4 linked regions of the Mytilus edulis genome follow. The protein of the gene in region 4 interacts with the protein of the main gene of each other region in a biochemical or structural test. Links are inferred from orthologs where the notes say so. Each region holds a gene or a part of one and is shown on either strand. Other genes may lie near its edges.

Region 1 (7,345 bases), on a different chromosome or scaffold from region 4:
TTAAATGTATGTTTCACTATAATGCGTTATTCTGATTGGCTAAATGCACATCACATGTTATTCCTTAAGCAATTGCATTACTCAATAAAACTTTTCATTTATGATAACATGAGGTCCCACAATAAAGTGCCCAGGTGAATTAAATAAAAAAAAAATGATAAAATTCATGTTTTCATGATCCTAGCTAAAAAATGTAATAATAAGTATTGAATGCTTCTTTTTGTAACTTCATAGGGTTGTAAAAGCATTGACCGTGCGCACATTTTTAGAATGAAGTGCTTGTGTAAAGCAAAATTATATCCAGGTGAAATTTGATCCGAAAGGAAAAAATGTCACAGCAGTTGTTATTTTTTTGTCCGGAGGAAAATACTTCCCTGGGATATTTTTTCCTTTGCCGTGAAATTCTATCTAGGTAGTTAACTTATTGAATAGTTATTAGAAAAAACTTATCCTTTAAAAATACTATGAAATAATATTAGTGTATTTGAAATAAAGCGAAATTGTTAAAAAAAATAATGTATTATAATGGGAAATAATTTCACAAATTATCCTTGAAAAATTTCCTGAAATATTCAAGTCAATATCATCCTTTTAAAAAGAAAATTATCATGAAACAAAGGGAAGAAAACCAGAAGTAATTTCAAAGATCGTAATTGTGAAAATAATATCATGATTAAACAAGGTTAGTGAAATACATGTAAAAGTGAGTTGTTTTCAGATCTCAGTGCAAATATAAAATTAAAACTAAGGTAGAAATATAGTTGCATTACTACTGTTAACAGTAATAGAAGAATTTGATTATGATGATAGTTTTAACTATATAAATAGTTTTGTCTGGGGACAGAGATGTAGTTGTTGATTATATGGAAATCAGATAAATCATAGCATAACAATATATTGGAACAAAAGCATGTTTAACAGCTGGATAGTTTTTACCTGTGAAATGTTATCTGTCTTATTAAATCAAGTTGTAAGTCATCTTTTTATATAAATGTATGTATAAAAAAAAAGATTCAAGGAAAAATTTCACTATAAAATAGATTCAGAAATATATTTAAAATTTAAATTGCTCATAATTACCTCCCTTTGATAAATTATGCAAATTTGGTCTACCTTTGTGAAACATTTTATAATTATAGTCAGGTATAAATCGATTGTGAGTAACTTACATAGTAGTTAATGGGACTCTATTTCACACGGTTCTGTGAAATATAGTACGGCAAATATAACCATTACATACTATACGCATAACACAGATAGATTTTCACTCCTCTGGAAAAAATCAACCTGTGAAACACCATGCCTGGAAAAAAATTACCGGGACAAATTATCCTCAGGACAAAATATCACAGAGGAAGAAATAAACCGTTACACTTTCACTCTTCATACAAAATGTACTTCGGTCAACGCTTTTACACCCCAATGAAGTTACAAAAAGAAGCATTCAATTCTTAAATAAATTATAATATATGTGAATGTATGTATGTACTGGTAAATGCCTCAGTTATTAAAAAAAAAACCTTAAAAGATGCGAGGGTACAGTGGCGTCCATGTGCACGCCCTATCAGGATTAATGGAGATGTGTCACTAACGTACATATACATGTATATATATACGACAATTATTTTTACAAGGACAGTCAATCCCAACCAAAAACAAAGGGAGTGCTAGGACACTGGGAAGTCTATTACTAGGGTGGTGGAAGCAGAAGTACTCGGAGAAGACCACTGTGGCATTCGGCGGAAACAGACAAACCAGAGATATCAGAAGATTGATCTCCATGTCAAAGTAGGGGGCAACTTTGACCAACTAAGGTCCCAAAAGTACCCGTTCTAGTTTAAACTCTGGTCTGGGTACCAGAGATGTGTGCGAGAGTATGAAAATTACAATTCTGATGTACTGATATTTTTCGTGAGAATCAAAATTGGGACCTTCAGCACTGAAAACATGAGGGGGGATAGGAGGGGTCTTGATCACGAAATCCCGGACTTGAAAAAACGAAATCCCGAGGTCCCGAATTTAAATAAAGCAAATCCCGACATCCCGAAATCCCAAAAAAAAGGATTCCCGGATCCTGAAAAAGGTCAATCCCGAAATCCCAAGCTTAAAAACACCCAATCCAGGAGTCCCGATAAAGGTCCTATCCCCCCTCAAACATTGGTCTTGACTTAACCACTAGAACATGAACTCAGATTTCTTTAAAGAGTTTTTTTTTGTCAATACACCATATCGCTATATGTCGGCTATTACTGGATATCAAACAGGTTCCCGTAAAATTTTGACGTCACAAAACAAAACATCTGACAAAAGTGATTGTTGAATGCGTCAAAAGTTCAAGCGGCCGGGTCAACCGGGATTAGCGATAAGGTGCATGCTATGTTAATACTAGATAGGTCAAATTAGTCAATTTGATGTTAGAACGATAAGAAAAGGGTGTTGTCAGTGTAGCGATAAGTGAACACAACAGGGGTCCAGTTTATGTTAAAACTAGATAGGTCAAATTAGTCAATTTGATGTTATGAACCCTTAGAACAATAAGAAAAGGGTGTGGCCAAATCGACTTCGGCCGAAACAACTATAGCCGAACTGGTTGTGTGGCCGAAATATCTCGAAAACTTTTATGCCAAACCCAGTGGTGGATCCAGGGGGGGTTCCGGGGGTGCGCACCCCCCCTTTATTTTTGCCGATCAATGCATTTGTATCGGGACATATGTTTTGCACCCCCCCCCCCCCTTTGCCCTGGGTGCCCTGGGTTAGCACCCCCCCCTTTCGAAAATTCCTGCATCCGCCCCTGAAACCGACACCCGAACAACAAGCTCTGTTGATTGAAGACCCAATGAGATATTCATAAACATATCTGAAACTAACGCTTGTATTCTGCCATCAACCTTCTTAAGGCTGATCCTGCCATTTTGCATTATCAGTTTTATCAGACTTTTTTTCAACTCATAAAATCGTGTTGTGATTCTTTTACGTGGAAGATAAAAACAGTGTTCGACTGAACGACGAAATAAAATAAGTATTCATTGGTTAAAGTTTAAATTACATTGAATGGCGACCAATCAAATGGACTGTTCCGTTTTTAGCAAACAATGGACATTTAACAGAAACCCGTTGAAATATTAAACGATTCCGACAAGAATTAATATATTCTAGAAAACATGACATCTGGTTTTTAATTTTGGAAATATTTTCAAATTTATCAAATAGGACGGATTGCAGATTGGTGTCTTATGACAAATAAAAAATAGGGGCGACCGAAAAGCTCTTGGATTTTGCGGATCGTTTATGTTAATTAGATTTTTTCATCTTATGTGCTTGAAGCAAGGCAACAATGGCACAGGCAAGCCTTGAATGGGTTGTAAGTATTTATGTTCCGATTATTTATTGACGATTTCTCTCCAGGTAAAAATGACAAGTGAAGGGTCTGTGTTTATTTCTTTATCTAGAGGTCATGAACTTCTAGACCGGTCATGTGATTGATCCATGTGATTTGATTGGTTGTTTTTAGCGCACTAGATTTAAACGGAAAAGTAACATCACATTCACCGGAGTGAGCTTTTAGATACCTCTAAGCCTTGCAATGGCTACAAGTCCTTTGAGGGTAAATTTATAATAGTCATGTCATACTGTTTCTGTTTTCAGTTACATTTTGTAGTCATCTTTCATGCATGCAAGTTAAAGGACTTTGAAATACTTCTACTAAAAAAGGGGGAGGGTTTTATGATGTGTTTACAAAAATGTAAATCATAAAATGAGGAATATTATATGAAGTCACATAACAACTTTCACCAGGTTGCAATATGGTAGTTGATGATTTCCAGAGGACAGGCTGATTCTTTACAGTTGGAAATTAAGGTTTCCCTTCAATTTTGATTTTAAACTAGATTGTTAATCATTTCAAAAGAATCTCTGTATAATTTACATCAGACATAAGGGGACTTTTTTCTCAACATCAAAAGGGTAAACAATAGTACAAAAGACTTTTTAAATAGACGACTGTAAAGAAAGCTTGTTCTACAATTTTGACAGTCATTGTTTACACGATTGTCGGATTTGTAATGTGTAACCAGGCGTTTATATCTCAAACGTCTGTTCCAGTTAATACTTGGATCCAAGTTGTCCACAAACAATACAGCAATACTAAAAACTACAACTATCTACGTTATGCACAATGAACCAAAATATATACACTGGCTTTTTGCAGATACAAAATAAGTATGAACTCTATATATACAAGTTTATACAATATAACAGCCTGACCTCCTAATTGGACGTTATGTCACTATAAGACAATGTGGCTGGAACAGCTTGACCTCCGAATGGGACAGTCTGTCAATACAAGACAGAGTGGGCTGGAACAACTTGTCCTCCGAGTGGGACAGTCTGTCACTACCAGACAGTGCCGGCTACTACAGCTTGTCCTCTGAGTGGGAAAGTCTGCCTTGTCAATCCGATCAACCTGTACGTTCACTTGTACCCAGTACAAAGTGTCTCCTGAATATTAAAGCTCTCCTAGCGTCTTAATATTACTAACGTACGCTCTGATGATGTCTCATCGACAGCCAACCGACAGCCTTGAATGCCGTTTCTCGTTCTCTTAATATATTCCACAGGGCGACTATACTATTTACTTAATAGGGGTGTTCTCTAAATGTTAGCCTTACAGAGCATAGAGAGTTCCTTACGATCACCCCTATAACTTTCGACCCTGCCACTAATTTCCTTGCCAAAAGTCTAAATCCACACAACGCTTCTTTAGGCATAAAATATGCATATATACAACAAGATTCTCCTGGTTTATAACCATAACGATCAATAATCATTACAGATTGAACTGTGTCTACCAGTGTAACTCATTCATGAAAAAAACCATCAAGTTTAGCATATCCAACAAAAAGAGGGTACTAGCCAATTTTGCAAAAAATTGTTTAGGTTTGATGAGTTGGGTCAGAGGGTTCCTGATCCCGAAATCTCAGGCTTAAAAACATTTAATCCTGAGGTCTGGAATTTAAAGAAATTTAAATCCTGATATCCCAACCTTAAAAGCACCAGATCCAGACCTCCAGAAAAAGGTCCTGCCCCCCTCTTTCATGAACAGGTTAAGAGTTACCCAGGGTTCTCATTTAAGTAATTAGAAAGGACTTAATTTTTAGCCATGGCAGGTTCAGAAATTTAATTGTTATATAGAAATTAATATTACAGTCTTTATGACAAAGAAGAGCAAGGTAATCTTGTAATTTATTTTATAGTTTGCTAAAAAATGTTGCTACATGTATGTTTGCAAAATTTACCATTTTGATGCTTCTCTCTTAGGACCAGTTTGCACAGAAAACGATTTCATCTACTAGTCCGGAAACTAAATATCAAAATTTTTCCCTATATGACTATTTAAAATTTTGAAATTTCACTTGTCCGAATCAATATTTTCTAGTCTGGGGCATCAGACTAGTGACTAACTTGCCAGCTGTCAGATTTTGTAATTAGTTCAGACAAAACAACAGGAGTAATTATTGAACCCTTTCCTCCATTGAAATTTTTTTTTTGCATACTTGATTCGCATAGGATTTTTTTAATTAAATGCTGAACATATGATTTAAAGTATTAAGGCATTGTGAAAAACAACTATTTCATCAAATAAATTTAAGTTGGATATTCCTATGATATCCCTTTTCATATCAGATACAAATTTTATTAAGTCAACTGCAGACACTTTGTAGTCACAGTGTTTCAACTGAGGTACTACACAGGCGTCCAAAGGCGTCATGGAGTAAGGGGGATGGTGTCAAAAGACGTCATTATGGAGAAAAGGGTTAAACGATATAGAATGAATTGTTTGAAGATAAATGTACATTGTATCTATAGTGTGTATATGCATTAGCAAAGACTATTAAAGTATGCTTGCTAAGTACATGTAGTTACTTTTTGTGTTGCCTGCAACATTTATGCTACAACAATGAGACAGCAATGCTGTTAAGCCTGTTGTCAGTATTGTTAACATAATTCAGAATAATAATTTTACAAAAACTCGCAACCTGTATATATGATTGATACATGTAAAAAAAATGTACCAACCCTATAGAGTTTAGTACGAAAACTCTCAAAGATTATATTTTCTGACTTTTATCATTTTTTGTAAATTTTATGTTTCAGACTTTGTTTGACAATATGAATTCTAAAGCTGATAAAAAGAAAATGGTTGAATCTGAGAACATGGATGAAATCCATTTGCCTGGTGGTGGAGATGCCGGCTCTAAAGCATCAAAGAAAAGATTGTCTGTTGAAAGAATTTACCAGAAAAAATCCCAGCTGGAGCATATATTACTTAGACCTGATTCATACATTGGTTCAGTTGAAACTTTAACACAGGTTTGTCTCTTTAATGATCATGGTATGTCTCCTCAGGAAGAAAAGCATTAGGATACAAGATCACATATGAACATTGGATACCAAAAGAACCTTTTATATGCAAGAAGTTTGATTTGAACTAGCAACAAATGACCAGTGCTTTATTTTCATCAGGGGAAATAACTTATCTGAAAAAATTGTCTGAATGCTTTACAAATATTTTAAAGAGATTGGATTACAAATATGTGTATCAAAACTGCTTCAATTAAAATTGTGGCATGCAATGAATGATTTCAATGAAATAAATGGTCTTTGAAAAACAAATAATTTTTATAAGGGCTTAAAATGACAAATTGAAAAGAGAGCAACATCTGAATATAACTTCATGATTTTAAATTTTGATCAATTTTATTACAGGCAATGTGGGTTTATGATGACGAAGCAGGTCATATGGTGAACAGAGAGATCACATTTGTACCAGGACTTTACAAAATATTTGATGAAATTTTAGGTAAATTTTCTGTAATTGCGCTTTAGCTTTTATGCCCACCTACGATAGTAGAGGGGCATTATGTATTGCTGGTCTGTGGGTTCGTCTGTCTGTCCTGTTTCAGGTTAAAGTTTTGGTCAAGGTAGTTTTTGAGGAAGTTGAAGTCCAATCAACTTGACACTTAGACCATATGTTCCATATGGTGGTATAATCTTTCTAATTTTAATGCCAAAATTTTTTTACCCAATTTCACGGTCCATTGAAGATGGAAATGATAACTAAGAGTTGGGCTTTCATGTACTTTTGACATATTCTTGTTTTACTTCTCTTTTTGTAATTATTATAAAAACAGAGATATGGTATGATTGCCAATGAGAAAACTCTCCACCAAAAACCAAATGCCGTAGCAGTTCACAACTATATGTCACGCATTAATGAATTTTAATTTAAAGTTATCTCCTATAGCCTTTAAAACATTTATTTAAGGAATTTTAATACTTTATCATG
Region 2 (7,664 bases), on a different chromosome or scaffold from region 4:
TCATACATATTAAAAATATATCGATTCAACATTCTTGGCTAAAATATCATCTTTTCGTAAAAGAAATAAAAATTCTGCGAGTGAGTTTCCCAGGGTTATGCGGCATGCATATGATTAACCAGTGTTTCTGTACCTGTTTGAACTTGTGCAACACTGAAAAGACTAATAAGATCCATCAGGCAGTGAGATGTCTGAGATTGATAAGATATGGCATTCGCCAACAACACCCAAGGAGACATTCGCCAACAACACTTAAGGAGAAACTATATGGACCAGTGGATGCCCTACAGAAGACCATTATAAATGTTGCGGAGACTGGTATTCAAGTATACGGGCGAACGATAAGAAGATATGCGCATACTATAAGGAAAGCCGCACGAAAGTAATCAGTAAATGATCGCATCATTCTTCTCGATATTTAATGGATGTTTTCTGTAGTAGCAATCCATCAACATCTCCTTATTTTCATATTATGAATAAGATATGTGACAAGAAAACGCAAAACGAGAGAAAGATGTCATCAATTATACAGATATTTTCCATTGCCGTGCGGCTTTTCACAATAAGCAAAACACAAACCGTATGATATATAAGTTATGATTGTTAAGCCCCGGGGTTAAAAATGTGAAACAATAAACAAAAAACAAACCAGACAGTCTTATTCTACAAAAATAAAAAAATAATATGTAGTGACAAACAGCAATTAAAAAAACAACAACAAAACAATATGTTATAGGCTTTAGTCACTATATATTAATATCTTGGTATTCTTTAAAAACCTCTTTGGGCAGGCACATCATAAGAAACTAGTTGAGTTAAGCATGTTTTGCTCATGTATTTCTTTCTGTGATCCATGATGGTCCAAATTTGATTGTTTGAATGGGATTAAAAGAGCGGCGAAATATACCAAAAGGGATATCAAAAATAACAAATAGACATCGGCACAATATACTGCCAACGCCATAACAAAATAAGAAAAAAGACCAAAAAGACAATAATATATGAAACGCAACATAGAAATCTTAAGACTTGGTCTCAGGTGGTAGGAAGGGTAAGTAGATCATCCTCCAAGAATATGTCTATGCATTAAAAATATATATAGCGTTCATAAGTAGGGCATCTGTACAGCGAAGCGCCACTTTAAACACTACTGTCTATATCTTAAGTGGCGGAATCAGGGTGGGTGGGGGTTATAACCCCCTTTTTGTTGAAAATCAATGCTTTTGACCTATATTTGGAACCTTTTATCCTTGGTTGGAACCCCCTGATCGTGTCGGCCAGTTTTTATTGGTGGTGGAAGCATGAGTGCCCGGAAATCATCGCCGACCTTCATAAAAAAAAAAATGAGAATCCATGTCAATTAAGATATTGGAGTAGAGCGCAGTCGTGCCACTTGCAGGGTTCGAGCACACCACCTCGGTGTTGACAGGCTAGTAATACAGTAGTTGGACTATACCTAGAACACATTTTTAACAGCAAAATATGCTGACGCAATTTACGTCTTTCACATGTACCATTGCTGCAGGAAAGTTGACGGTGAAGAATTAATCAAATTTGTAATGGTATATATTTTTTCCTATTGTTTCATATAAAACACCGGCTACTATACTTGTTTGGCGTCCTTAAAACATTCAAATACACATAAAATATATATATTAAAGCAACTACATACCTATATATCCTTTTTGCCGTGTGGTGCAGTTTCCATTACATTATAGAGATTCGCATATTTTCCTTGTACAATGACACCGTTTACAGTTCCAATATTGTATTTGAGTATTTTGTTTATGTTTCCACTCAGTCAGTGTTTTCTTATTTTGCATATTTTCCTTGTACAATGACACCGTTTACAGTTCCAATATATTGTATTTGAGTATTTTGTTTATGTTTCCACTCAGTGTTTTTCTGGTAGTATATATCTATATTTCAAAATAAAACTAATATCGTTTCTTTTCTAGGAATGTACATATGCTCCCTGCGTAAACTTGACTGAGTTTCTAATTGTCTTTTTTAATACCAAGATCAGGATATATATACATCTATTTGCATAAAATCCTCTTACTGTCAAAAGAAGCTCATGTGCTATTATTTAGAGAATGAGTAACCATGCAAGATAATTTTCCATTTATTTTTGGTGTCAAATTATAGTAACTTTTCCATTCATTGATTTTTTTATTGTAATTCATTATTCAAACAAGTGCTCTGTTTTCGTACAATTTTAATCATTTTAATCTGTACATTTACATACTAATTACAAGTGCTTTGTAATCCGTTGTCAGAGTCTATTGTGTAAATGCTTTAACATTTAATTTCTTATCTCATTTCCTTTAACGAGATTTTGTATTTGCTCATTTCAAGTTCATTGTGTAACATTACATATGTATAAGGCAATTCAAAAAAGATCTGAAAATTATTTAATTGGAAATCCATGGAGATTTAGTGTCGTTTGTTGGTATGGCTCATTAGTGTTTCCCCGTTTCTTTTTTTATTTAGCATAGACTACACAGCTACTTTTGCATAGGTACTATTTTTATACTATTTCTGTACTTAAAATCTGTAGTACTGGAAATTTACTTTTAATATTTACGGTACTATTTCTTTACTTGAGAATTATTGTAATATTTAGGTACTTGTATTTTCCAGTACTTGATTTGTACTTAAAATATTGGTACAAAAATAATACAAACAATGATCACAGTATTCCATGTTTGAACATCGTAACTTTATGAGATTTGGGGAAGACAAACTTTCAAAATGCTGAAAATGTTAACCATGCAACAAAAAATCTGTAGTACTTAAATTTCAAGTACAAATCAAGTACTGTAAAATACAGGTACCTAAATATTACAATAACTTTAAAGTAACAAAATAGTACTGAATATTAAAAGTAGATTTCCAGTACTACAGATTTTTGGTACAGAAATAGTACCTATGCAAAAGTAGCTGTGTATTCAGACCGTTGGTTTTTCTATTTGAATTGTTTGATATATAGTCATTTCGGGACCCTTTATAGCTAACTGTTCGGTGAGAGCCCAAGGCTCAGAGTTGAAGACCGTGCTTTGACCTATCATGAATTGTTTACTTTTTACACATCCTACCTTCAACGGGATGGATAGTTGTTTCATTGGCACTCATATCACATCTTCTTATTCATATTTGCTGCATATCTAAATGTATGATTGCTCATACTTTTTTACATCAGTTTTTCGTATACATGGTATAGATTTGAACTTAATCGAATGAAAATATTTAGACGCCATCATTTTTAATTGACAAAGACTTGCGTTATTCTCAAGATATTTTGTAACCGCAAGGTCATCCTATATCCTTGTTACATTTGAGGTGGAGATTTTCAATGAATACTCAGCAGTTGGGCAGACAGCAAGACGGGGTACATTTTAAAAGTCTCAATCATAGGACCTACATTATTTAATACTTCAATGAATGACATATCTTATTTTATTGAACATGGAGCCCTTTTTAATTAAGCTGACGATAATACTCTTTAGTTAAAACGTATTTTATTTACTCGTAAAATTATGGATTGGACACAAGTGAAACCATACTTATGAAGTCCACGGCGAGTATAATGTTAATTTTAGTTTCACGTTACTACAGGTTTTCAATTATACATTTATTTTAGTATGGATGCAGGTATGGATGAGACACAACGTAAGTATTTTATACAAAATAATAAAGGATGAGACACAGGTTGAGTCTTCTAAACAAAATATTAAAGGATGAAACGCAAGTTGAGTCTTCTATACAAAATGACGAATGTAGGACAGAAAGTCACAGACAAAAAGTCACGGACATAAAGTCACAGGACAAAAAGTCACAGTCCATTTTTTCTGATTATTTTCTTTGAATAAAAAACGCGTATTTCTACAAAAATATTTTTGCATTTTTCTTGAACTATTGTACATAAACCAACTTTGTAAATAAAATTTATCAAACAAATATCAAAGATAATTAAATAATTGTTAAAAAAACGAAATGTCAAAGTGGCTTGGCACTTAAATGGCTTCATAGTGCCAAGAAATCTTTCTTTTGCACTGGTAAAATTAAATAAATCTTTATTTTTCAAGTATAATGACACATTTCCTAAATTTTAATATGAATATATGTATAAAAAGTAAATATTTCAAGTTATTTCTCTTACATATTCAAACAATTGTCAACTAATTATTTGTGACTTTTTGTCCTGTGACTTTTTGTCCTGCGAAATTTGTGACTTTATGTCCTGTGACTTTTTGTCCTGTGACTTTCTGTCCGTTTACCAAAATGACAATGGATGAAACACAAGTTGAGTCTTCTATACAAAATGATAATATATATACCGGTAATAATAATGGATAAAATGCAAGGGGAGTCTCTTTTTTTATAGGATTTTTATTTCTGATATTGTAAGTACATGGTACTGTAATTAGTTTGGTGGCTCTATTTTTTTTTTACATTTTCTTATTAGCCAATAAATGTGAGGTAATGTATCCAAGGATTTGTAAAGTATCACTATACAAAGCCTTGGTGTATTTTATTCAACACCGAGTTAATTTCGATTGTACCAAAGAGTATATTAAAAAAAAGTTGATTGCGCACTGAAAATAAAAATTAAAAAGTCCGCGAAAACTTACAGTTATCTCCCCTGTCGCTCAGCTGTGAACAAACGATTGCACCTGCGCATTTTTCACTTCCAGAGGCCGAGAATAAAAATATCCGTTGGAGTGGAAAAGCCGTGGAAATATTTCTCCCATGGCTGTTGACCAGTCAGCGCTCCTTTTACAAAGGCAGCTACGTGGTGAGGAATACAAAATAGGGAGAACATAGTCTTTGAATTTGTCCCAAAATTGAAGTGGCATCATCCTTTTCCGTCTCTTGTTGAACAGAAACGAAAACGTCTGCGCATATGAATCATCTCGACACGTTCATTAATAATAAGATTTGTTTATTAAAAATGACAATGTTTAAATATTTATACACGTTGTTAAATTCTCTAAAATATTCTGTGTGGAAATTTTCAATCGCCACATGTACAAATGACACGCATGGTCCCAACTGTAAAATTTCTTCATCAAATAAGAAACTATTTATCAACAAATGATCAAAGTTGGTCTTATGTTGAACTGATTGAGAAGTGTACTCACAATCAGATATATTTTTTCTGTGGTCATATGGTAAAAAGTTTTTCCCTAGTGTAGGAGGTCGCTGCCTACTCCCAGATTGCTCTGAGGGCCCTTTTTAGGACTTGTTGTCAATATTGATGGCATGGTAGGTCACTCCTTTGTTTGTATAATTCGACAACTGGTTATGATGAGCCCTGAGAAGAGAACCCTTTTGCAGCCAAACTAACCGTAAAAATCATTGTCCTGATCCCGATCCTAAGTTCAAAATTGATACAACTTGTACATGTACATGTAACTCTTTTCCTTTCTTCATCATTCATGGTAGACCATATTGCTTCTGGTACATGTAATTTTCTCACGGTACTTTGAGTATTTATTTAGGCACAGGATCAGATCTTGCCAGTTCTTGAAAATGCCCTGATGTTGTGATTTTCATGATGGGGAGACTTCAGGTACACCTCATACATGTCAACAGTCTGGAGTGGGTCTCATTGGGGTCTAAGCGTGACGCGGGATTGCTGATTTTTTTAAAGCGTGACACGTGAAAGTCAAATTATTGTGGCGGGAAATGAGGTCTTGCGGGACCCGGGAAATGACCAAAAAATGAGAATTGCTTACGTACATAGTGTAAGCGGGATACAGGAATCTGACAAAACAGTAAGCGGGATCCGGGATCGGAACCCCCCAATGAGACCCCCTCTGGAGAAGTGATAATTGAGACAGGTGACGTGCATTTTTTTTATTTTCATGATTTAGAGTATGGAACAATTGTAAGGTGTATACGTCTGTCTAGCATGGTTTATCTGATCATGACCTCATTTTCATAGAACATTGATAATGTTGAGTTTATGTGATAGCTACAAGTAGTAAACTTTCATATTACAGACTTTCAACATGAACTCAGTTAAAGTAAAACAGGCGAGACATTTCTGAGTGTGCAGTAGCACTCAAGATAGGTTAATTTGACAAATAACAGATGTTGAACTTGATATTTCAACTGGACTGTTTTTAAGTGTGTCAGATGAATGCTTGCAGTTTTTATGTAGCAGAGGGTACATTTTGTATTTTAAGTTTTTACCCTTTTCCAACAGTATGTTCATACATGTACGTCCCAAAGTTGGTTTCCATGCTCTAACTTTAATTGCCTCCACTAAATATTATGAAACTTATACACAATGCTTATGCTTTTTACCACAAAATACAGATCAAAATTGAATTTTTGGTGGTGTCACTTTAACGATTCTAGAGTTGTGCACCTTTACGAAGGGAAAAATTGCTTATTTTTGTTTGTTTCCCTTCTCTTACAGTCCAACTAAAGTTTGCCTCATTCATATGTTAAGAAGCTCATACACAATACTTATATATGACAACAAAAATTAGATCAAGTACAAATTTGGGTAGCATCACTCTTACCCTTCTTCACTAATTATGTCCCTTTATATGATATTCATCATGGGGCATCATCCATGGTACACCTTCCCCATTTATTTTTAGCAAATGTTTTGACAGTCCTAAATTCTTTGAAGTATGAAAAATTCTTTTAAAGCAAATAATTGAATAAGTTAATACAATGAAAGACATACCTAAATCTTAATTGAAACAGAATTGAAATACCAGTTAAAAATCTGACATTCAAAGGGATTGAAAATTATGTGAAATTTATATACCAAAAGTTAAATGTCATTAAGAAAACTCAGGTTTAACCACAGGCCCAGCAGCCCAAGCTTGTAAAATTCCTTTAGGGTCTGTAAAACTCATCTCTACTGTCTAACAGAATCTAATAAAAAATTTCAAATATTGAGCTCTTACATTGTACATAACCTGTAGATTTAAAAGTTTATCGTGAAAACGGCTTAAAAATGTATCCACCTCTGATAAAATTTGTAAAGACTTAAAATCACTTTAAATTAATAATTCTTTCAATAAAATCAGATAGTAGCAGGAAATCTTTAACATTTTAACCAAAAGTTAGACATACAATTACTGAAAACATTTAGCTATTATACATGTTATATTGAATGTTTGAAATCTATGATCATAGTTTTGAACTTAACAGTTCAATTTTAGTTTAATTATTAACCTGGAAATTCTTCTGTATTTCCCTTGTATCTATTTTTGTTTAGCGTCAGCAGTGGTCTTCCCAGATATTTCATATATTTAGCATCCTGGTAAACAAGGAAATTTGAAATACCATCTTTTGAAAAATAAATTATAGCATCACATCCATAAACAATGTATAAGAAAATAAAATGATTCAATTCAGATAGCATCACATTCAGAAATATAGCATCACATTACGATGATGCTGAAAGGCCCTGGGGAGAACACTGGTCAGTTGTTATTTGTTATTTTAATCACATAGTTTCTAAATGTACACTGTACAAACATGGTGGATGTTTGCAAATTTGAAGTATCAAACAAAAGTAAAAAATTGACATGTCAAAAACAATCAATTGAACTGAGGTCATTGCACTCTTAACATATATATAAACAGTGTTTTAAATTTATTTCCTCATCTCTTTTATATGATATATATCATTG
Region 3 (7,817 bases), on a different chromosome or scaffold from region 4:
TGAATTTTCTACACCAATTTTTGTTTGTTTGAAGTAATAAGATGATATATTGACAATATGTATACGAAGAACTTAAATTTATATTATAAACAACACAAGTTTACAGTTTTACCATAGTGTTCACAGTGTTATCATGATATGTGATATATGTCATTTGCCGGACTTTTGATCGATCATAGTGAAACGTTTCAGTATTAATATTTTTTTTGTGTGGCCGTCCGTCATGTTATTCGTTATTCGTATGAGAACACATATGAAACTTTGCTTTCGACAATTTTGATTAAAACTTAACTGTTCACATTTATTTAGGAGCCGTCAATTAAGCAGAGGAAGTAAGTTCCCTTTGTATTGTGAATCTTTTATGATATCGGAAATTCGTTACCGGCTGAATCAACTGTTAGAATAATTTTTTTAACGTCTCCCGATCGTACGAGAAACGAGAACAACAATGTCATTATGGTCAATGCCTTAGTAGTTTAATACTCCCATTCGTTGTAGCAGGGACTTTTAATACTAAGTATATACTAGACGTATATAAATATTATCTGGTTGTAGTTATATACATGTCTGTTCAGCTTTCAACAAAATTGATATTCATGGTCCCCGATAAAAAGAATATCTTGTGTTCTTTGATCTTGCTTTATATGTTTTTTAACTTACCAGTTTGATTTCTAACAAAATAATCTTTAAATACAGATAATAATTGTTTGCATAAAAATTGCTTCCAGGATCCAACAATACTGATGGAAATCGAAGGAAAACAGGTCATTTTAAGCCACTGATTTTATCGAGAGAAAACCAAAAAATCTGCGGTCACGATGTATTTAATTTTAATATTTATAGGCCAAAGTACGACCTTCAGGACGAAGCCTTCGCTCACTCCGAACAGCAACCTCAGCTTGTTTTTACATAAAAATTGCTTCACGTTTCAACAATACTGATGTTTCCTAAAGTGAGGAAATCGAAGGAAAAGGTCATTTTTAGCCATTTTACCGAGAGAAAAAAATCGGCGGGGGCTGCGCCCCCGAACCCCTGATCTTGAGGGCCTCAATCGGCGGCCTCCAAACCCCTGCCTCCCCTGAATTAAAACCCTAGTTACGGCCCTGCCCTCCCCCCCTTATGACTGAAAAACATATATTTTTTAGCATAAAGTCGTCCAAAGAATTTTTCGACAAGCTCCGCTCAGCGGTATATATTCAGTTCTCTTGAATCAAGTTCCCCTTTCAAAAATCCTCAATCCGTCTCAGCCAGTGTAGGCCGCAAAGAATGCAGGCTCCCTAATTGCAGATTTATTCACAAATCGATAGACTCAGAGTTTGAAATATTAAGTCTTGTTATTTCTGTCAGTGGTGTTAGTTGCTGTTGTATTGACGTTTACCCTTCACCCATCTTTATTCATATTTGCTGCAATAGTTTTTTTTTTTCTTTTTTTCTTGTTTATAAGAAAGGAGATGTGGTATGATTGCCAATCACGGAGACAACTCTCTCCACATGCAAGAGACCAAAATGACACAGAAATTAACAACTATAGGTCACCGTACGGCATTCAACAATGAGCATAGCCCATACCGCATAGTCAGCTATAAAAGACCTCGAAATGACAATGTAAAACAATGCAAACGAGAAAACTAACAGCCTCTATATAAAAAAAATGAACGAAAAACAAATATGTAACACATAAACAAACGACAACCACTGAATTACAGGCTCCTGACTTGGGACAGGCACATATATATTGTTCATTTTATAAAGAATTAATGTGTTGTGTGGAGAGCAAAACAAATTAGATACATATGGGTTGTCATAATTTCATGACAGCGACAATTAAGGATACAGTGGCGGATTCAGAGGGGGGGAGTAGAGGGCGTACGCCCCCGCCCCCCCCCCCCTTTTGCTCGGACTTTTTTTTTTTTTTTTTTGTAAAATGATTAATCAGACTAGACTTCGTGAACTTTGCCATTTCCCGTGTATTTAATTTTTATAAATACGACAATTCTTTACTTATAAAGATATTTTAGCTGAATATTAACTGATTGTCAAAGTCATGTGATTTGCTATGGTGGAGGTGACCAGTGCATTGAAAAAATGTCACTCGGTCATTTTGAAATTCAAATTACAGTAACACATTACTTAGGCTGAGGATGTCATGACAATCATGAAACCTTTATAGCGAAACAGGATTGAGCAAGAACGTATTTACTTCTATTTCACTATTCCACCAAACAGAAAGTAATAGTAAATACTCTATAGACTAATACACTCTCATGAGAAAATGTTCCACCATATTATTTACCTACGAAAACATGTTTAACCCCAAATGCCCCAACCTATTTTTATAAATAACAAATTGAATAATGATCCCCAGTCAGTATTTATAAGCTCTAGAAATATTTCAAGTCTCAGGTACAAACCATTTTATTTGAGGTGTCAGTCAGAGATATTTGAGAGAAAAAAAATTTGACTCTGATTCTTGCCTTAAGAAAAACTCAGTTCTGGCCGTATCTGGATTGAAACAATAGTCTTGTCCACTTTTTTTGCTATTAGCCAACAAAATTATTTAGCATTAAATGAACATGATGAATAAAAACGGGCGTATTTTTTTTGTGGCCGAGGTTTGCATGTCTGACCTGAATGTCTGTTTCGCCGGACTTATATATTGAATACTTTTTTCAAGACCAGACTGTAACCTGCCTGCTGGGTGTGGCCTTTATGTCTCCATTTGTCGACCGTTATTCATAAATTCGTTGTCATTTCAGACTCTTTCGTAGCCTTTGGTTGATTTGGAACCCCTCACTTTCCTTAGTTTTGTTGAGTGAAACATATCAACCAAACATTTGGATAAAAACTGCATGTTTGTCCTTTTAACTCGTGTCGGCCGTATTGTAAATTTCATCGAATAGCCCGGCGTATATCTTGTTTACAAGAAGAAATCTGTGAGGTTATGACAACTTAACTTGCAACAAACCGGCGAGAATTTCCATGTCTATTTTTTACTGACAAATCCCACATCAAATATATCAGTACATAGCTTTGGATCCATACTATCATTATATGATAGACAATTAATAGAGAGAAAACAGCATCAAAAATTTCCAACCCTTACACTTTACAGCAACTATAAAAAAAAAAAATACATGCCCCACGCCAGCAAACCGTTTAAATAGTACATATACTGACACTTATTTTATGTTTTTTAGCCCAAAAAGGTCCCAAAAGCTTTGACACTTCCGCCCCCCTTTCCAAAACTCTGGATCCGCCCCTGGGATATATATCAGAACAAGTGAAAGGAATGCAAGGTGACCAGAAACTGGTCGACGTTCATATGTTCTATCATGTTCGCATGCTTTAAGCAAAGTTGTATTAAAGATAACATAAAAACAAGTTCAAGGATACATGACATGCATTAGCTACTTTGAATTATTGTCTAAATATTCGCATGACCTAATGGGATCATATCAGATCATATCTGGCAGCCGATCACACACCACTCTAATCTAAATTTTACGTGTTATTAACTTATATTGAAAGTTCACCCTATAGACTACCTCTTTGGATACTAAGACATGCCGGGTTCTGAAGTCGAGTAACGTTGCATTCACGAGAACTAGGTTACCTTTTCACACTTCAGTTGCATGCATGTAAAGTTCAAGTTAACGTTCACAGCGATTACAGATAGGTGACTATACAATTTTTATGTAAAGTTAAATCAACAACAAAAATTTAACAACAACAAAAAAATCTACTAGCAAATGGATATAAACCTCGTAGTATATTCATGAACCAAAAAGTTCAGTGTTGAAACATCCGTAAAAGGTTCAACTTGTAGCAAACACTGTCACTTTCAAAATATCGTCCAGACGGCATACCGAGCAAGCTACAATTAGAATTTATCTTTAGCGTTGGACGCCGACGCCAAAGCTGGGCCTGCCGACGCGAGCGCCGAAACCATATTTGGGGCAATATGCGCAATTGTTTCGCTATAGGCGGTAATGGTAACGTTTTCTTCTGTAGCTCAGTCCGTATCGCAAACTTGGATATGTATGATGGCTCCTTTCGAAGCTGAGACATTTTCACATGTGTGGTTGAAGGAGGGGGGATAGGACCTTTATCGGATTTCGGGATTGACCCTTTCGGGATCAGGGAATTCTTTTCTCGAATTTCGTGATGTCGGGATTTAAATTTATTTAATATCGGGACCTCGGGATTTCTAGTATTTAAGCCCGGGATTCGGGATCAGGACCCCTCCTACCCTCTCCTAGAAGGGGTAAGAAGTGTGATTCATTTTCCCGTAAATAAGCATACCCAAAAAATCCTTTCGCGATGCGACTCATCGTGGTAAAAATATCTCCTTCTTCACACAATAATATCTTTGAAAATGTAATACAAGTACTTTGAACGGAATACATTAAATAACTCTATATTTTTCACACATTTATTCTATGGTCCTCTTCTTTCCAAATCAACACAAATGGTTAAGCGCAGTCATGTGTTAACATAGATATATGTTCAATATCACTACACAGAGATTTTTTGTTTACACACAATTTTTTGTGTTCCTCAATCGGAGGCGCATTAAAGCGGAGTATTAGCCCATTTGGGTCTAAAACCGGACGCCGACGCCATATTTGAACCTTCAACATCTAACTGGCTCTACTCTAACGAAATGTTTATCATTATGTAAATCATATCTTTCCCCTTAATTTTCATTGGAAATCAAACTGATTTCATATAATAAGAAAGGAGACCGTTGCATTCTTCTCACTATTTAAAAAAAATGGTAGGTAGTCCGATGTACCATTAGACAACAGTTACCTCCCCTAATAAAATTCATCACCGGGACTGAAATGGACACAATTTTTCATGAACAGGTAAAAGTTGTCTTTACAGTGACAACTTTATACATTTTCTCGATATATTTCATAAAACAGACTTGCTTGCATTAGGATTCGGTAGTCTGAGTGGTCAACTGAACCGTCCTTTGACCGCAGTCGTGACATTTTTGTCTATCACTATCAGCATCACTGACAAAATCACCAGATTTGATGCCATACTACAGTTTAACTGTATCTTCAAGTGACCTTAAGCAATTATATTTGGTCAGTGTACTTTTATTTCGTTGACGTTTGACTGTCATAAATTTAGGAAAATCTTAAAGTGTGTTAGAACTTAAATGAAATTTTCATCATCAAAGAGGGGTAACTCTTTTGTTGGGTTTCTATTAAATTTGGTACAGTGTATTACAATCAGAAACTTAAATTGCAATTGTAAGTATACGATATTATGTAATGATCAATCATAGGTTACCTATGCTTTAATTTTAGCAAGAGGGTTCCCTGTGTGCACAACACTGTCTAAATGCCTTAATACAAGGACAGTACTTCAGTCCAGTAGATTTAGCAGAAATTGCTCAGCAGTTAGATGAATCAGAAAGAGAACAAATGGCAGTAGGTGGCATACAAACTGAAGAATATAAAAGATTTATGGAGGTAAAATAATGATATATTGTATTTACCACACTAAATTCATTCTTTTTGTTTCTGTGCGTCAAGTTTAAGTTGAAGAATATGCTTACAAATTTTTGTTTGTTTAATATACTGTACATTATATACATGTACATGTACTTCACCATGTTTATTCTCATTGACTTTACTGGAAGTCTAGAAAGTGCGGAAATGTTCTTAAGAATCATATAGCTTAATAAAAATGGGGAATTATGGAGATTTTGTTATAACTTGTAAAATTTGAATAGGCCAAGGATATAGATGTGTTTGCAGAATGAGACAGAGACTGAGAGTGTGATCATAGTTAGAGAGAATGTCATGTTATTTGTGATATTGCATAACTGTGCAGATACCTTAAAATGTCTGGAAATAAATAAAACATCATCTACATGTATGGTACATGTACAAATGTATGTCACTCCCTGTTTACCAACAACGTGAACAATTTGGATATACATTTGTATATATACATTTAGCAAGCCTTGTGTCATGTATTATTTCATTTCTATAAACAAGGAGTTGTATAAATCTTAAATAGTTTGTTATTTCTGGAAAATTGATAAGAAATGTTATAACATGTATTATAATACTACATGTACATGTACATGTATGATGATTAATTATACAAAATACATGTACATGTACATGAAGTATACCGGTACTCAAGATAAAGTTTTAAATCTAATTTTCAGCAACCATCCAATAATTTTGATGACAGTGGATTTTTTTCAATACAAGTAATAGAAAAAGGACTGTCAGTATGGGGTTTACATCTGTTACCCTATAATTCACAAGATCCTATTGCTGCAACAGCTAGGACTAACCCTGTGTGAGTAATTATAATATGATGTTAAGAATCTAAGGTTGGCAGATAGCTTTCAGAAAAGAATGATACAATATAGTATGTATTGCATATATCTACATATTAATCTGAGTAACATTTATGAAATATGTATACATTTTGTACATTATCCAAATTGGAAAGGGAGAATCTTGTTGATTTCAATGTCAAAGGTCAACCAAAGAAATTTGATATTTGGTGTATCAATTCATTACATAAAATTACAACATGCACATAAAAAGATAAAAACTTTCACTAGAAAATAAAAAGACAAACAGACAAACACCAGTACATAAAACTCACCATAGAAACTAGAGACTGAGCAACATGAGTCCCACTAAAAGTTATGATAAAACACTTGAAATACCATCACCTTAATTATAAATATAAACAGACTTAAATGCTAATGAATGAATTTATATTGACATTTTTTAGTAAATGACAAGGAAAAACTACATTTTCAACGATTCTAACTAATCTCCAGTCAGGTCGTAAAGAAAACATTATTGATATTTTTGAAGAATAGTGTACAAGTCTGATCATAAAATTGAGAAAGGAAATGGGGAATCTGTCAAAGTGACAACAACCAAAGGCCACCAATTGGTCTTCAATGTAGCGAGAAACTCCCGCACCCGAAGGCGTCCTTCAGCTGGCCCCATAAAAAATATGTATACTAGTACAGTGATAATGGACGTCATACTAAACTCTGAATTATACACAAGAAACTAAAATTAAAAACCATACAAGACTAACAAAGGCCAGAGGCTCCTGACTTGGGACAGGCGCAAAATTGCGGCAGGGTTAAACATGATGAGATCTCAAGCCTCCCCCTATACCTCTAGCCAATGTAGAAAAGTAAATGCATAACAATACGCACATTAAAATTCAGTTCAAGAGAAGTCCCAGTCTGATGTCAGAAGATGTAACAAAAGAAAATAAATAAAATGACAATAATACAAAAATAACAACAGACTACTAGCAGTTAACTGACATGCCAGCTCCAGACCTCAATTAAACTGATTGAAAGATTATGTCTTAGTACATATTGTACTAGTATTAATTCAGCTAATGTTGCTAGCATATTGTTGTCTTATTCTTTATATGTGTAGACTAGTAAATTATTGAAACAGTTTGCTGTGGTGTCCAACACTATTTGTAATAATTTTTTTCTATAAATCATGATAAATTGTGAAGATGATAAAATCAGCTTTCATCATCAGACAGATTGATACTAATAATATTTTTATATTTATTTTTTTTGCAGAGAAATGAATGCTTACATATGCAATTTTCGAGAACACTGGTTAGCAATAAGAAAACTTGGTTATCAATGGTTTAATTTAAACTCACTACTTACAGGCCCAGAACTTATATCAGATACTTATTTATCATTATTCTTAACACAACTACAACAAGAAGGTAAGTAACTTTTTAAAGTGAAGGCAAAGATTTAAAAATATAAAGAATGATTTATA
Region 4 (7,794 bases):
AGATGAACCATGCCAGGCAGACAAGAACAGCTAACAATGCTACTATACAACATATATAGTTGACCCATTACTGATAGTTTAAGAAAAATAGACCAAAACACAAAAACTTAACACTGTGCAATGAACCGTGAAAATGAGGTCACGGTAAAAAAAACCTTGCACGACTGACATAAAGATCATAAAATAATTCCATACACCAAATATAGTTGACCTATGGCATATAGTATAATTAGATGAAAAGACCAAAACTCAAAATCTTAACTTTGACCACTGAACCATGAAAATGAGGTCACGGTCACATGACATCTGCCCGCTAGACATGTATAGCTTACAATCATTCCATACAACAAATATAGTAGACCTATTGCATATAGTATGAGAAAAACAGACCAAAACACAAAAATTTAACTATAACCACTGAACCATGAAAATGAGGTCAAGGTCAGATGACACCTGCCAGTTGGACATGTACACCTTACAGTCCTTCCATAGACTGAATATGCTAGCCCTATTGCTTATAGTATCTGAGATATGAACTTGACCACCAAAACTTAACCTTGTTCACTGATCCATGAAATGAGGTCGAGGTCAAGTGAAAACTGTCTGACAGACATGAGGACCTTGCAAGGTACGCACATATCAAATATAGTTATCCTATTACTTATAATAAGAGAGAATTCAACATTACAAAAAATTTGAACTTTTTTTTCAAGTAGTCACTGAACTATGAAAATGAGGTCAAGGTTATTGGACATGTGACTGACAGAAACTTCGTAACATGAAGCATCTATATACAAAGTATGAAGCATCCAGGTCTTCCACCTTCTAAAATATAAAGCTTTTAAGAAGTGAGCTAACACCGCCGCCGCCGTAGCCGCCGCCGCCGTAGCCGCCGCCGGATCACTATCCCTATGTCGAGCTTTCTGCAACAAAAGTTGCAGGATCGACAAAAAGTGCTTGTTATCACTGAATGGTAAAGATTGTTTTAATTTATCAGTTGGTAGTAAAAGTGAATATATACATTGTATATTGTATAAAACAATGATTTAAGTTGATTCAACTACTATTCTGGACAAAGAAAGATAACTCCAATTGAAAATTTTGGACCCTTTGACCTTAATGTAGACCAATTTGAAAACGGGACCAAAAATTAAGAATCTACATACACAGTTACATTTGGCATATATCAAAGAACCCCAATTATTCATTTTTTGATGAAATCAAACAAAATTTAATTTTGGACCCCGATTTGGACCAACTTGAAAACTGGGTCAATAATCAAAAATCTAAGTACATTTTATAGATTCAGCATATCAAAGAACCCCAATTATTCAATTTTTGTTAAAATCAAACTTAGTTTAATTTTGGACCCTTTGGGCCCCTTATTCCTAAACTGTTTGGACCAAAACTTCCAAAATCAATCCCAACCTTCCTTTTGTGGTCATAAACCTTGTGTTTAAATTTCATTGATTTCTATTCACTTATACTAAAGTTAGTGTGCGAAAACCAAGAAAAATTCTTATTTGGCCCCTAATTCCTAAACTGTTAGAACCAAAACTCCCAAAATCAATCCCAACCTTTCTTTTGTGGTCATAAACCTTGTGTCAAAATTTCATAGATTTCGATTAACTTAAACTTAAGTTATAGTGCGAAAACCAAGAAAATGCTTATTTGGGCCCTTTTTGGCTCCTAATTTCTTAAATGTTGGGACCAAAACTTCCAAAATCAATCCCAACCTTTCTTTTGTGGTCATAAACCTTGTGTTAAAATTTCATAGATTTCTATTCACTTTTACTAAAGTTAGAGTGCGAAAACTAAAAGTATTCGGACGACGACGACGCCAACGTGATACCAATATACATGTACGACCAAAAAATTTTCAACTTTTGCGGTCGTATAAAAACTAGATGTTTCAAGATCAGCTGATATAACCAAAAGCATTTCAAATGGTAATTAAGGGTACCCTCCCAACCCCATCCCACACCAAAAAATAAATAAAGGGGGAATGTGACCATGGGACACAAATGGAAGATGATCCCCACTTGCATATTATGTTATATAGGGACATAACTCAAGAACAGTAAAAATGAAGCTACCCAAGTACAACTTGAGTTATGAGGTAGTAAGCAATCTGTACATAATAAGTTTCATAACACTTGCTTGAGTCAAACTAAAGTTAGGAATAAATATAAAATCCTTTTCGAAAGAAAAACTATATAAAAGCTTAGTTTGGACATTTTTATAGTAATTCAAAATAAAACATTTTACCTTTAGTATGGTAATGGCTATAATATAACTATACAGCTTGATAGACAAATTTAGTAATAACATCATTAAAGTGGAGTTAAAGTCTTATAGGATTGTAAGTATATTTTATTTTATCACCTTGTACTTTCACATTTTGACTGAACAATTTGTTCAATATTCTGACCAGTTGAACAATTTGATTTTATAAAACAAATTGCGATTTGGTCAAAATTTTGAATGAGTTGCAATTGGTGGATAGCAACACTAACAGTCAAGTCACTGTAGTATGATTGTTTTTAGTTAAGATTTTTAATAGAGTAGAAATCGTTTTTTATTAATTGCACTTATATTTTTGGAAGTTTTATTTTTATCGTTAACTTTCAATAGAATTATGTTGAAATAAAACTACATTGTCCTCTGCTAAGATTAGTTAAAGATAACAGTATTTTCCAAAGAATTTATTACAGTGTAGAAAGTTAATTGTTAATCTTAACAGGATTCCTAAATTTTATGACACCTTCAGTGGGTCAGTCTTAGTCATTTAGAGCTCAAATAATAGTCGTCTGCAAATGCAGCTGTGGCGATTTAATTACTTTGTTTTGATCATCTCTGGGAATCAGGTTTAAGTAGTGTAAAATTGTATGTCAAATGGTCAGACTTAAACAGATCATGTCTTTATCATGTGATAAGTTAACACGAAACAATGTTGTGAAATTGTAATATGAAATGATTTTAAATATTGGATTAAAAAGCAGTTATTAACAAACATTCGAGTTAGTTATATGTAATGGATATAATAATTCTATTTGTTTGACCCTTTCACCGATGAGTCCTGGTTTACCGAGATTCACGCTTCAGACAGCTGACGATGAGTCCTGTTTTACCGGGATCGGAATACCTCTTTTATTTATATTTCCCGCTCAAAACAGTGCAAACACGAGTTATCTTTCTTTGTTGAATACCCTGATGAAAGTGTAAACATGGCGCTTCCGTTTGTTGAAAACCGTGTCAAAATCAATGGAAATTTACAAGAATTAAAAATTTAGGAACATTTTTGTAAAAAGAATATGGAAGAATTGAAGCCAAACTAGTAAACTGAAAATGTCGTTTTATGTACACAACACTTGGAATGGACATCGTTGAGTGTAAGGAATTTGTACAGCCTCATTTCATTTTTCAAAATTTTGCCGTTTTGGGTTAAAAATAATGATTTTGGGTCAAAGAATAGATCTTTCAGAATTTCAACTAGATCATGCCGAAAATTTGAAAATTTTATGAAGAAAAAAATATCAAACATGAACAAAACTGTGAACATGGTGTTAGTGAATGAAATAAAGACACAAATAACTACAGACTAGTTTTTATTGACATTTATTATGAAGATCTCCCTCTTGAGTAATAGTAGCCAGGGAAGCCATCGTCTCAGACAGAGTAGCTTCTGTCTGGGCAGCTATCGGTGAAAGGGTTAACATTATTGTCGAACTCCCAAATCGTCAAACTTTATATGAACAATTTATTCCACTTTCAAATCGTCTCCCCAACAATTGATGATGATGGTGGTTACCATTACAGTCTGGAAACTGTATATATATAATGTATAATGTTATCATACCTGTAATTTCATGACGTCACCACAAGCAGGAGCACCAACCAATCCCGTTCCCACATCTTTGTCGTTTTTATTCATAGATCCAACATTTCTGGGATTCTCATAATGATCAATTACCTGTTATTCAAATAAAAATAATAAAAGTTGAATAATTTTTTGTTTGAGTATTTGAATAGAATATGCGATTCATTCTATTTGTCATGTTTTACTACAATAATTTAATTTGAATAGAATATGTGATTCATTCTATCTGTCATGTTTTACTACAATAATTTAATTTGACTGAAAATCATCAAGGGAGACAACTTTTTAACTCTTTGGCAACAACTCAAATTTCTGTCTGCAAAATCATGAAAATGTCATGTCAGAAATAAAGGCAGAATTTATTTGTAACTGTTTATATGGTTCACAAAAAAATGCCTATTCCAAAACAACTAATCTGATATCATAATCGAATAAATGAGTGTATAATAATGTAAACTTTCGATGAAGGACTTGGCATTGCATAACTTTTATGTAAAACTAAGACAACATCTACAATTTGTACAAGCAATCTTTATTGACAAATAAACGTGTTCAGATACATTTAAATATATATTCTTACATTTTTGTGATAAAGTGCAACTAACGACGTAGTTCGACTTTCTGTTACTGATCGAAGAAGTTGTCCTCCAACTCGAAATAAAGCCATGATGTTGTTTTGCATGTGGTCTGATCACTACTTCCACGTGACATCATCCGCCAATATAGTTTTTATATTTTAACATCTATAGATAAAATTTGATTGTCCATTAACATTCATTAATAACCGTATAACTTTCAAACACTATTTAAATTGTTTGATGTCCGCTTATAATTACATTTGTAGCTGTTTAATCAGGTATAATTATGCGTAGTAATATAGATATCTACTTTCACTTCTGAATTCTGACCTGAAATTGAAAGTAGGTGACATTGCTTTCAGATGACAAACATTGTAATAAATGTAAAATACAATGTTTCTTCGTCTTTTACAATCGAAGTAGATACTGACTGGAATGTATGGAAAGTGAAAAGAGAAATTTCCAAAAGAATTAAACTACCACCTGAAGAAATACAGTTGATATTTACAGGCTGTGTATTGAAAAATGATGCTATTTTAAAGGTGATAAAGGTTTATGATCACTACAAACTTTTTTTGGTATCAAGTACCCCACCCTTTTCATATATTTTGTTTATCAAAAATATGTACCTTGTCATATATGAGGGGGGATAGGAGAGGTCTTGATCCCGAAATCCCGGACTTGAAAAAACGAAATCCCGAGGTCCTTTCGGGATCTGGGAATTTAAATAAAGCAAATCCCGACATCACGAAATCCGAAAAAAAGATTCACGGATCCCAAAAGGGTCAATCCCGAAATCCCGAGCTTAAAAACACCCGATCCCGGAGTCCCGATAAAGGTCCTATCCCCCCTCATATATATCAATTAACAAAAAACAGACCTATAGATATATTTGAATATTTTTCATTTTCTGGTACATTAGTATATAGATTCTTATTTTACTTTCACTTTCTCTTTCTATTTATATCTATAACGTCGTCATAACAACCTCTATTGTTCAGCGAACCACACAACCGCCAAATTTGTACTTCACTGTTTGATTTCATGTATAATATTGTCCTGAAGACACCACCCTTGTTGGCGAAACATGTCGACCATAATAAACTCTTACCATGCCGTAATTGATCGGTGTTGTTGTCTTTGTTATTGTTTTATGTTTAATATTAATTAAAAACTGATAAAAGTTACAATGCCGTTCCCTCTTACAATGGAATTTCTGTAAATAATTGTTTAATGTTTTATGTATACAAACCCTTGAATGTTAATTACAGAGGCGGATTTAGGGGGGGGGGGGGCCCTTTTTGGGAAAAAATTTGGTTGCTTATATAGGGAATCACTGAAGAGTGACTGGAGCGGGCCCCCTCTTAGGTCAGTCAGTGGGCCCCCACATATGAAAATTTCTGGATCCGCCACTGAATTAGGTGCAAATGTCAAAATGGTCGGATTTATTGCATCTATCACTGGCATCAGTGGAAAAACCACATCAGAATAAGTAGAGTTTAATTGGTTTGACAAATAAGTGATGCATTTACAACTGTGGTTTAACGCATCAAAAATAAATACGAACATCTGATTAGTTTTAGATACTTATGATATAATCAAGCAAGTGATAATATCAACCTATTGATATATTTAATTCTGAATTTCTTACCCTTTTCATATATCATAGAGCATGAAAAAGTGACCTATTGCAGCGGCTCATCCCTACCACTAATTATATAGTAAGTGACACCCCCCGAGCTTTTTTTTTAAAAGGAATTTGATGAAAATAAAACCAAGTTTTTTGTAGAAAATCCACAGAATTTTTTGTTATAAGATTTTTAAAACACATTACTCTCTGGTTTTTCTATGATGTGCTAGTATTTATTATTTACAAAAAGTCCTGAACAACAAGGCCGTAACTAGGCATTTTATTTTAGTGAGGCAAAATAATTGAGCGGAGCGAAGCGAGGCGAAAATTTTTTTTTGAGGGTATGAAATGAATGGTGTAAAATCCTGCATTCTAGGCATTTTTAGAGAGTTTGATAATGTTTTGAATTTGAACACTTTATATAAATTTTTCATATTTTAAGACTTTTACTAACACCAACAACTTTATTTAAATTTATATGTAAGATAATCATCCAAATATCACTGATTTGAGTCTGCTGCCAGAACATAGAACAAACATCGATTCAGTAGAGTTTGCCAAATTTTTCTATTGCCGGTTCAGTCAAATCGTTTCAGAATCATAATTTGGTCTACTGGTATCCTTATCGCGATGAACATGGAGCATGGCAAGACCGCACAATCTCTCGCCACTCATGCATGCTCTTTTCCAAGTTTTCAGTCGTTTCAGGGCAGTCTGTGTTTCTAAAGGTAGCACATTGTCATCAACACAATGATCAATGTCTTCTTCCAATTCCTTCTCCATCAGCAATTCGGTAGCAGCATCGGTAGTAACAGTTTTGTTTGCAAAAGGGAATTAAGCTTTCCTGTAAGAACCATCATACAGTCGCAGTTTCAAAATATTCAACTCGCTTTTATGCTGACAAAGAGTAGACAAACTAGGGATAGAATGAGATAAGATACAGGTATATGATTCTATCTATAGAGTAAGTATATCTGGTATGGGTACAGGGGAAATTGGACTGGAGTTTTTGACGTTTACATGTAGGTCTGTAATTTCCAATTATTTCTGGAAATAGTTGGTGGTATTTTAGTTCCAGAATCTATAAATTTAGGGGTTAGGGTCTGGGGTGTCCGATTCCGAAACCCAGAATATAAAGAAACGAAATACCGTAGTCCCGAATAAGTAAAGACAAAATCCTGTGTTAAAGGTTCTACCATTCGATCCTCAATAATATCAAATTGGAATATGGGATATTCTTTCAATTTTTAAGGTTAAAGAAACATGGATAACAAGAATGTGTCCAAAGTACACGGATGCCCCACTCGCACTATCATTTTCCATGTTTTATGGACTTTGAAATTGGGTAAATATCTAATTTGGCATTAAAATTAGAAAGATTAAATTATAGGGAACATGTGTACTAAGTTTCAAGTTGATTGGACTTCAATTTCATCAAAAACTACCTTGACCAAAAACTTTAACCTGAAGCGGGACGAACGAACGAACGGACGGACGGACGGACGAACGAACGAACGGAGCCACAGACCAGAAAACATAATGCCCCTCTACTATCGTAGGTGGGGCATAAAAACTAATCCATGGATGTTTCATATTATTTATATTTTATTTATTTGTAAAGAGAAAGATTAAAGTTCGTGAAATGAATACACAGACAGGACTGCTCCCTTGCGATGCCCAGTACTTGATTTGTCAAAGTTGGTGAA

Evidence for each region.
Region 1: the proteins of E3 ubiquitin-protein ligase parkin-like (region 4) and ubiquitin-conjugating enzyme E2 G2 form a complex in vitro, tested with the Homo sapiens proteins (6 studies listed by BioGRID). The link is inferred for Mytilus edulis from reciprocal best matches to the Homo sapiens genes PRKN and UBE2G2.
Region 2: the proteins of E3 ubiquitin-protein ligase parkin-like (region 4) and probable ubiquitin-conjugating enzyme E2 7 form a complex in vitro, tested with the Homo sapiens proteins (5 studies listed by BioGRID). The link is inferred for Mytilus edulis from reciprocal best matches to the Homo sapiens genes PRKN and UBE2G1.
Region 3: the proteins of E3 ubiquitin-protein ligase parkin-like (region 4) and ataxin-3-like form a complex in vitro, tested with the Homo sapiens proteins (4 studies listed by BioGRID and IntAct, with this or other methods). The link is inferred for Mytilus edulis from reciprocal best matches to the Homo sapiens genes PRKN and ATXN3.

What each region holds. Positions count from the first base shown.
Region 1 is NC_092357.1:21,471,458-21,478,802, forward strand, and holds the start of ubiquitin-conjugating enzyme E2 G2, read right to left. Parts: upstream 3,019-7,345; 5' UTR 2,912-3,018; coding exon 2,869-2,911; intron 1-2,868. Other genes in the region: DNA topoisomerase 2-alpha-like, read left to right, coding at 3,335-3,361, 6,154-6,369, 6,766-6,859. UniProt on the Homo sapiens protein: Accepts ubiquitin from the E1 complex and catalyzes its covalent attachment to other proteins. In vitro catalyzes 'Lys-48'-linked polyubiquitination. Involved in endoplasmic reticulum-associated degradation (ERAD).
Region 2 is NC_092349.1:6,893,734-6,901,397, forward strand, and holds the start of probable ubiquitin-conjugating enzyme E2 7, read left to right. Parts: upstream 1-4,646; 5' UTR 4,647-4,752; coding exon 4,753-4,798; intron 4,799-7,664. UniProt on the Homo sapiens protein: Accepts ubiquitin from the E1 complex and catalyzes its covalent attachment to other proteins. In vitro catalyzes 'Lys-48'-, as well as 'Lys-63'-linked polyubiquitination. May be involved in degradation of muscle-specific proteins.
Region 3 is NC_092346.1:61,398,211-61,406,027, reverse strand, and holds the start of ataxin-3-like, read left to right. Parts: upstream 1-4,799; 5' UTR 4,800-4,844; coding exon 4,845-4,868; intron 4,869-5,321; coding exon 5,322-5,486; intron 5,487-6,193; coding exon 6,194-6,330; intron 6,331-7,606; coding exon 7,607-7,761; intron 7,762-7,817. UniProt on the Homo sapiens protein: Deubiquitinating enzyme involved in protein homeostasis maintenance, transcription, cytoskeleton regulation, myogenesis and degradation of misfolded chaperone substrates.
Region 4 is NC_092353.1:63,687,062-63,694,855, reverse strand, and holds the start of E3 ubiquitin-protein ligase parkin-like, read left to right. Parts: upstream 1-4,762; 5' UTR 4,763-4,820; coding exon 4,821-5,000; intron 5,001-7,794. UniProt on the Homo sapiens protein: Functions within a multiprotein E3 ubiquitin ligase complex, catalyzing the covalent attachment of ubiquitin moieties onto substrate proteins. Substrates include SYT11 and VDAC1.